Linked DNA regions of Arabidopsis thaliana. The protein of the gene in region 2 interacts with the protein of the main gene of each other region in a pairwise test. Each region holds a gene or a part of one and is shown on either strand. Other genes may lie near its edges.

The links.
Region 1: the proteins of HAT1 (region 2) and AT4G39780 interact in a two-hybrid assay, tested with the Arabidopsis thaliana proteins (one large-scale study listed by BioGRID).

What each region holds. Positions count from the first base shown.
Region 1 is NC_003075.7:18,457,138-18,460,892, reverse strand, and holds AT4G39780 (Integrase-type DNA-binding superfamily protein), read left to right. Parts: upstream 1-1,635; 5' UTR 1,636-1,858; coding exon 1,859-2,677; 3' UTR 2,678-2,987; downstream 2,988-3,755.
Region 2 is NC_003075.7:9,737,570-9,741,846, reverse strand, and holds HAT1 (Homeobox-leucine zipper protein 4 (HB-4) / HD-ZIP protein), read right to left. Parts: upstream 2,330-4,277; 5' UTR 1,986-2,329; coding exon 1,838-1,985; intron 1,751-1,837; coding exon 1,422-1,750; intron 1,337-1,421; coding exon 1,257-1,336; intron 1,156-1,256; coding exon 864-1,155; 3' UTR 613-863; downstream 1-612. UniProt on the Arabidopsis thaliana protein: Probable transcription factor.

The DNA.
Region 1 (3,755 bases), 8.7 Mb from region 2:
AATTTGATACAAAATAAGTAATCAATAAGAAAATAAGGGAATACATTACGTGGAAATTTTTTGAAATTCACTCATAAAGTTGGAATTAATGGTCTTTTTGGGGGGGGGAAAACGTGGAGGGTAAACGAATATACAAAGTAAGCAAGTAGTATCCGTGTAAAGCTTTTCATATCACCTAACTTTTTTCCATTTTCAATCATTTATGGTGAAAATTTGTGAATATTATAACAAAAAATTATTTAGGTAAATAAAAAATGGCTACTAGTAAGTGTGAAAAAGAATATGGAATGAAATGAGAATGTAATTTAGCTCATGAATCTTTGATTATATTGATTGCAATTCTTAAAACCTTCTCTTCATATTGATACTATGTAATGAATTATCAAAACAGAAAAATAATATATACGAAAACAAAAGTAAATCCATTATCTGAAACGTGTCTACCTCATTTTGTTTTAAACGAAACAATATACTTATCGTAAATAAAATCATTATACAATTTCTCTATTTTCTACAACAATCAAACACAAAAGAATTTTACATAATATTTCGAAGAATATTGGATTTTTAAATGGTTAAAATCTGAAAAGGAACTTGAAAAAAGGTGAAGAAGATCCACTAGCTTCCTTGTGACGCAAACTTTAACCGCCTTTGAGTTCTCACCTCTTTCCATTCTTCTCCAATAGCTTTCTTCACTTTCTCCAATTAATTTTATCTTGCTAACCAAACAACCCCTTAGTTTATTAATTTACAACCCCCCCACCCCACTTTTTACATCTACTTGTATGCGGTATACTCAATAAAAATTTCTGAAAATGGACCACATTAGGACTTGGGAATATTAGTATGACCACCAATATTCTCATGTTTGATATGGCTGCAATTTCTTCTTTTTGTTTGCATGAATATTATTTAGTACTTCAAGTACTGATTCCATGCTTTTTTTTTTTCCTTCTAATTCAACATGAGTAAAATATAAATTATTTTATAAGAAGATATGTTGGCAAAAGAAAAGAAGTGGTAAAGAAGGCAAACTGGCCTTTCAACTTGCGCTAGAATCAACTAATGTCAGTTTTTGGCTCTTACGATTTTTGAAATTATTGCTGAAAAGATTATATTTCGGCGATTTTATTTATTAAATATAGCTCCAAAACTAGAGTCAAAGATCATATGAGAAGTTAAAGAAAATTAATTCCGTCTTTTTGGTGTGTGTGTAACGTGTAAACCTAATTAAACTATAACATGCTCTCTTTTTCAAAAAAAAATATAACACGCTCTTCACATATAACATGAAATCAATATAAATATATCCTTAATAAACACAATAGAAAGTGAAATTGATATTTATAGTTATTGCGAGCTAGTATAGTTATGATTTTTTTTAAAAAATTGAGCTGGGAATTTTTGTAAAATTTAGAACTCTTAGTCTAACCATGATAGATGATTGTTTTGTCACACACGTACACACCATAAAATCGTATTATATTCCCTGGGAACGGCTTAGATCCATGGAATAAAAGATTTTTATCAAGCTGACGAGAAACAAATCGTCAACAGAACAAAAGCATCTAAACAATGTAATTATTAAATTTAACATTCTACTGAAGAAATTTATATATAATTTTAAAATGATAATGATCTCAATGGGCGGCTTAGCTTATGGTGTTATATAAGCAAAGAACTTGGCATCAAGCGAAACCAAAAGCGACAGAAAAAAACAAATATTTAGAAACAAAAAATGCTATAATTCTTCCTTTTTCTTGTTCTTTCAGAGATTTTGATTTCTATTCAATCGACTAAGAGGGTGTGTTTTTAATCCCTCTCTGTTTTAATTTTGTTTCCTAGTCTTTAAAGATCCATGGCAGCCATAGATATGTTCAATAGCAACACAGATCCTTTTCAAGAAGAGCTCATGAAAGCACTTCAACCTTATACCACCAACACTGATTCTTCTTCTCCTACGTATTCAAACACAGTCTTCGGTTTCAATCAAACCACATCTCTCGGTCTAAACCAGCTCACACCTTACCAAATCCACCAAATCCAAAACCAGCTTAACCAGAGACGTAACATAATCTCTCCAAATCTAGCCCCAAAGCCTGTCCCAATGAAGAACATGACCGCTCAGAAACTCTATAGAGGAGTTAGACAAAGGCACTGGGGAAAATGGGTAGCTGAGATCCGTTTACCCAAGAACCGGACCCGACTCTGGCTTGGAACTTTCGACACAGCTGAAGAAGCAGCCATGGCTTATGACCTAGCTGCTTACAAGCTAAGAGGCGAGTTCGCGAGACTTAATTTCCCACAGTTCAGACACGAGGATGGATACTACGGAGGAGGTAGCTGTTTCAATCCTCTTCATTCCTCTGTCGACGCAAAGCTCCAAGAGATTTGTCAGAGCTTGAGAAAAACAGAGGATATTGACCTCCCCTGTTCTGAAACAGAGCTTTTCCCGCCAAAAACAGAGTATCAAGAAAGTGAATATGGGTTCTTGAGATCTGATGAGAATTCGTTTTCAGATGAGTCTCATGTGGAATCTTCTTCGCCGGAATCTGGTATTACTACGTTCTTGGACTTTTCGGATTCTGGATTTGATGAGATTGGGAGTTTCGGGCTGGAGAAGTTTCCTTCTGTGGAGATTGATTGGGATGCGATTAGCAAATTGTCCGAATCTTAAACAAAGCAAAGAGAAGACTTTTTCTTTTAGGAGTTTGTCTTTCAATTTCAGTGTCTTATATTAATCTCTCTGCAACTGAAATTTTTAACAGTTGCGGAGAGAATCGTCTCTAGGGTTTGTTTCTCTTCCTCCATGTTTTGGTCTGACTGGTTTATGTCTTTTTTTTTTTTTTGAACTTTCAAAAACCTTTGTCATTGACCAATCGGAGAAGTTTCCATGTATTCTCTCATCTTTAAATTTCTAATGAAGAATGTAAATTATTAGTCTTTTGCTGATAGTGTTTTTGGTCATTATAAAAATAAGGTTTGCATGCTGATAAAGTATAAAATTCATTTATTAAACAGTTTCAGAGAACTTGCGGAAAGATAATTGATCTCTTCTGTCAAGGATTTTTTAAGAAATTAAACTTAATGTTAATTCTCCTTTTTTATACTTAAATCATTCTTGTAAAATGATTCAAAAAGACATGATGGGAACAAAATTTGGATCGGAAAATAAAATCTAATATGTTTCAACTACAAAGCAAAATATCATTTGACGAAATTTGAAAATGTATTCCTGCCGAGGAAATTCCAAAAAAGAAAAACAAATCAAATAATTATAGAACTTTATTCCGGCGATAATTCAAATAACTTATGCTGCATTTGTGTGTATTGTGGACGATAGAGGTCCGTTGTTGACATATGGGAACACATAAGCCACAAAGTTCGATGCTTTAAGGTAAAGAATCTTACAATAACCAACAATTGTGGCAAAGATTAAAACGTTCATAATATATACACTATACAACTACTTTAAAGTCTGTTTTTTCAAATATTATATTTAGAAAAAAAAATAAACAAAGCAGCCTTAACCAATATTCTGATTCTTTTCTTTCAGTACGTAAAGACAGTGTTCATACTTCCAGAAATTGAAATGGATGTTTTTGGAATTATTATAAAAATAAAAATAAAATTGGAACGTTTGATTCTTTATTCTCTGACTTTCCAATTAGTTGTAGTCTAACGACTCTAGGCCAAGTGCCCAACTATGACAAAACAAAACTAGATCTATCTGCAAAAACGTATACTTCACCACA
Region 2 (4,277 bases):
GGTGAAGAGTTTGGTTTCATTGAGACCCCCATTCGTTACTTGTAAGCAAAGATTGCAAGGATAATCCCAAGAGCTTGATGTTCATCACTTGTGTGAGAAGAAATTGCTTTCAGTACTTTCACTTTCACCAAGTACTGACAAAATGGGGTCAGTTGCTGGTGTGATCAAATATGCATGTGTTTCTCACTTTCTCTGGTGAAATAGACGACGACAACCACCACCATAATTTGGGCCGGTAAATTCGGCCCATTAATTGCACACTGTTAAGAGTTATTACCCAGTAAGATTGTAGCATTCTAAAAAATCAAGATTCTCGCTCGCTTACTACAATTCCTGGGTCCCTTTAGGATTTGTCTAGGTAGGAAGAAATATCAAACCGTCTAAATTTCAATAACCTGACGGTTCAACTTTTGTTTATGAAAAAAACTATTAGAGTATTTAGATGATTAGAGATATCATTTTTATGTAAAAGAAAAAAGAAGGGTATGAAAAAGATCTCGAAAAATTTGAAAATAGAAAAACTTATGCTTTTCTCATGAGGCACTTAACCTGGTCGCATATACAAAGATCATGTCAACGTAAAATGAAGATGGCTTCATGATTATGTCAAGAATGTATAATGGTTATTGGTTAAGAAGAGCTGGGTTTATCAAAAAAAAATAAAAGAAAAACTGTTCTTTTTTATCCTGTTTTTTTTTTTATTATTATAAATTTGTTTGTTATCAAGAAGACAAGAATAACTAATTTAATTAGATTAAAGTAAATTTAAAAGTAGAAAAAGGCTTTTAAGGATACATTAGCTGAGAGTCAATAATCTAAAAAGTACAATGACCCACACACAACCCATAGAAGCAGCATTAAAGTTAAGACCTAGGACGCATCACATCAAAGGTTGACCCATGGGCCATTTGGAGCCATGGACTCAATGAGACAGATCGCTGGTTGTGGTTAGATGAGGATGGTCCGGCCACACGTTCACACGATGGACACATCAAAAGTGTGGTCGGTGGACTCATCTGACCATACAACCGCGGTGAAAGCTTTAATGCTCTTAGTTCCGCTGCCTCTTTCTCGAGCCGCCGATTCTCTTCCGTTAATTTCTCAACACATCTTTTCAAATACTCGCAATCCACTTCGGTCTGCTTTAACTTTGTCCTATTAGGCACAAAAATGGGTTGTATTGTAAATAACATTGCTCTTTAGGGGCAAAATGGTCAACTAATATGTAAAAATAATGAGCACTCTAGTTCTCTCACCTTGCTCTTCTGTTTTGGAACCACACTTCCACTTGTCTTGCTGTTAAACCTAGCTTCTTAGCCAAAGCCAGCTTCTGTTTCTGTAGTTTTACAATAAAGCCCTTGTTAAAAACAGAGTATTTACAATAATACTTTCACGCTCCGAGAGATGGATGAATGACTAACGGGATTGAGAGTATTGTGCTCTTTGAAAGTGTCTTCGAGAACTGCGGATTGATCTTTGGATAGTCTAAGCTTCTTCCTACAAGTCTCACCTCCGTAATCTTCCTCTTCATCGGAGGTTCCACGTGAGGAAGATCTATCTAGAGTGATGTCAAGGTCATCTCCGCAACCACCACCGGAGGTACCTTCTCTTTCAGTACTCCTCCTCTTTCCACTCACTGTGCTCGAGATCGTACTGTTTGGAGACGAAACTCCTGTCTCCTCTTCCAAATCCACCGTTGTTGGCAAGCTGTTCACGTCGATTTTCCTAAGAAACTGTTGCTTTTGTTGATCTGAAAAATGAAAAAGGGTTATTTCAGGATCTGTGTTGTTTCCTTGTGGAAAAAGGTTATCAAGACTTTGTTGAAGAAGAAGCTTACCTGAGGAAGAAACAAGGGTTTGGTTCCATGGAAACATCTGGAGATTGGACATTGGTGAAGAAGTGGGTTTAAGATTTAGCTGGAGAGGATGGTTTTGTGCAAATCCCAAGCTAAGACTTAAACCCAAATCCTCTTTACCCATCATCATGATATTGTCTCTTGGTAGAAAATGAGAATAGCAAAAGCTTTGATCTTTATGAGTAGAGATGACTAGAAAAACCTTGATCTAAAGCTGATTTTACCTCAAAAGATTTATCAGTTGTGCTAAGTGTATGGAGGACAAGAGAAACCTTCTTCTAGGGTTCTTATAGAGAGAGAGAGATGTGAAATGGGAAATGAAAAGAGAAAGAGAGGATTAATATAGGAAGTGAATGATATGAGATGTTGTCAGGTTGGCCAATTATAATCTATTAATGCCCTTTTGAAACTCAATTATTATATCCCCAACTTGTTCCCTCTTTGTCTTCTCCTTTCTCTTTTTTTTTTTTCTTTATCTTTTCCTTCTTCTTCTTTTACTATTTTAGTAAATTGTATAGTAAGTCCTATCTTTTGCTATCTTTTTCCATAACCTCAAAGTACTTCTATATATGTATGGAATCCAAAGTAAATTTAAAATGCAAATTCATATTTTCCATCTCTACTTTATTTCTTGCAAATTTGGACTAGGAAAAGAGAAACTCTATAATATGCGGTGCAAATCCATTATGACATTTATTTAGCGACAATAAGTACATCAAATTATATGCCTAATCAACTAAATAATGATTCTAAGTTTTAATTATATACCTTCACATATATATGAAGTGACTCATGTTATGTCTTGCATATATTAGATATAAGCAGCCTTAGCTTCTGATTTAATAGTATCCGAGGAATTTTATTATTGCGCCAATTTGATATCATTTCGAGATATATAGACATTAGTTCTTTATTAAAAAAAAAATTAATAGAATTATTATTAAGAGTTGTAACTTGCTAATCTTTTTGACCATGTCAAAAAAAAAAAATAAAGATGTTATTGGATGAGCTTACTAGAGTGAATTTTATTTAGTATTTACGGTAAGTTGAATAATTGCCAATCTAATAGTTATGCTACAAAATATTTACTCTACTGTAAAGAAATAAACGTGAACATCTTTAGTTTTTTACTCCACCTAAAAGTGGTAGTAAATATTTCAGTTCATTTTCTCTTTTCATTTTTATTTAACCCTCAAATTTTTCCAATCATTGGTGCAAGAACTTGTGACCTTTGTAAAGAAAAAAAAAACAACTCAATCAGTCAAGATCACACACGGATGAGAACAGATATCGAAGAAATAGTTGGCAATTAATTGTTGAAATAATGAAGAAAAAAAAAGGACTAAATCAAGTGGTTGGTACAAAACACAATCCACATGAATCTGAGCTCATTCAAAGTTGTGGGCCAGTCACCTGTTGTGATCCAATCATATCCATGTGGGATGTGGGATCTATCATTACACTAACACCCATATGTATTACATATGAATCCAATATTCACTGACTGTTTCTCTATTTTCATTTCATGTTCTTAAACTTTCAACTATTATAGATCATCATACTTCCCTTATCATCAATTTTGTAGAATTTTTAAGTATTCAGATCGTGTTCTATAATCAGATATATTCTGAGTGCTGCTAATCAGAATCATTTTGCTTTATTGTTGACAAAAAAAAAAAAGAAGAAGTAAATTAAAACTGCCGAAAGATGATTAAAAAATGTCTCAAATAGTTTTGGGCTCAAGAGAGAACATGGGCAGGTGGGTCATGTCACGTGACAACAAGGGACCCGAAAACACTCGACCCGGCCGTGCGTTTTATTTTGTTTCCTCACGCGCCGACATCTTATCATTGCCTACCACGCGCCTTCATCATTTTCGCTTCGTTGTAATCATTATACGCATGATTTCAAATGAAATAACTCCTTCTCATTAATGATCTAACTGTACTCGAAATTAAAAATAGTTAAACATAGTACATTCGAATTATATGCCGTATATAATGAACTAATAATTCATCTTTCTAGTAAGTATTTTTTTTTTCAAACTAGTAGTGTATTATGCGTTCTAAACGAAAACATGAAATATCTATTTAGAAGCTCTATTTGAAAATGTTAATGGATTTGAATACTCACGACAAAACGAACCAAAAAATTGTTATTGAATATATATATTTCTACTTCGTTTTTTGATTAGAAGAAATTCGAGACCCAAAAGCTCGTAGATCCCCCTTAGGTTGAGACGAGAAATTCAAGACCCCTATTAGCTTATATATATTTAGTCTATACTTGTATATAATAGCAGTGATTAAGGGTTCGGTATAGTCCCGGTTTATTCATCTAATTAAGGTGAATCTCTGGTTTATTATTGGTTTAGTTGGTTTGTTGTCTATACAACATTGTAACAAACTTTCAAGATTATTAA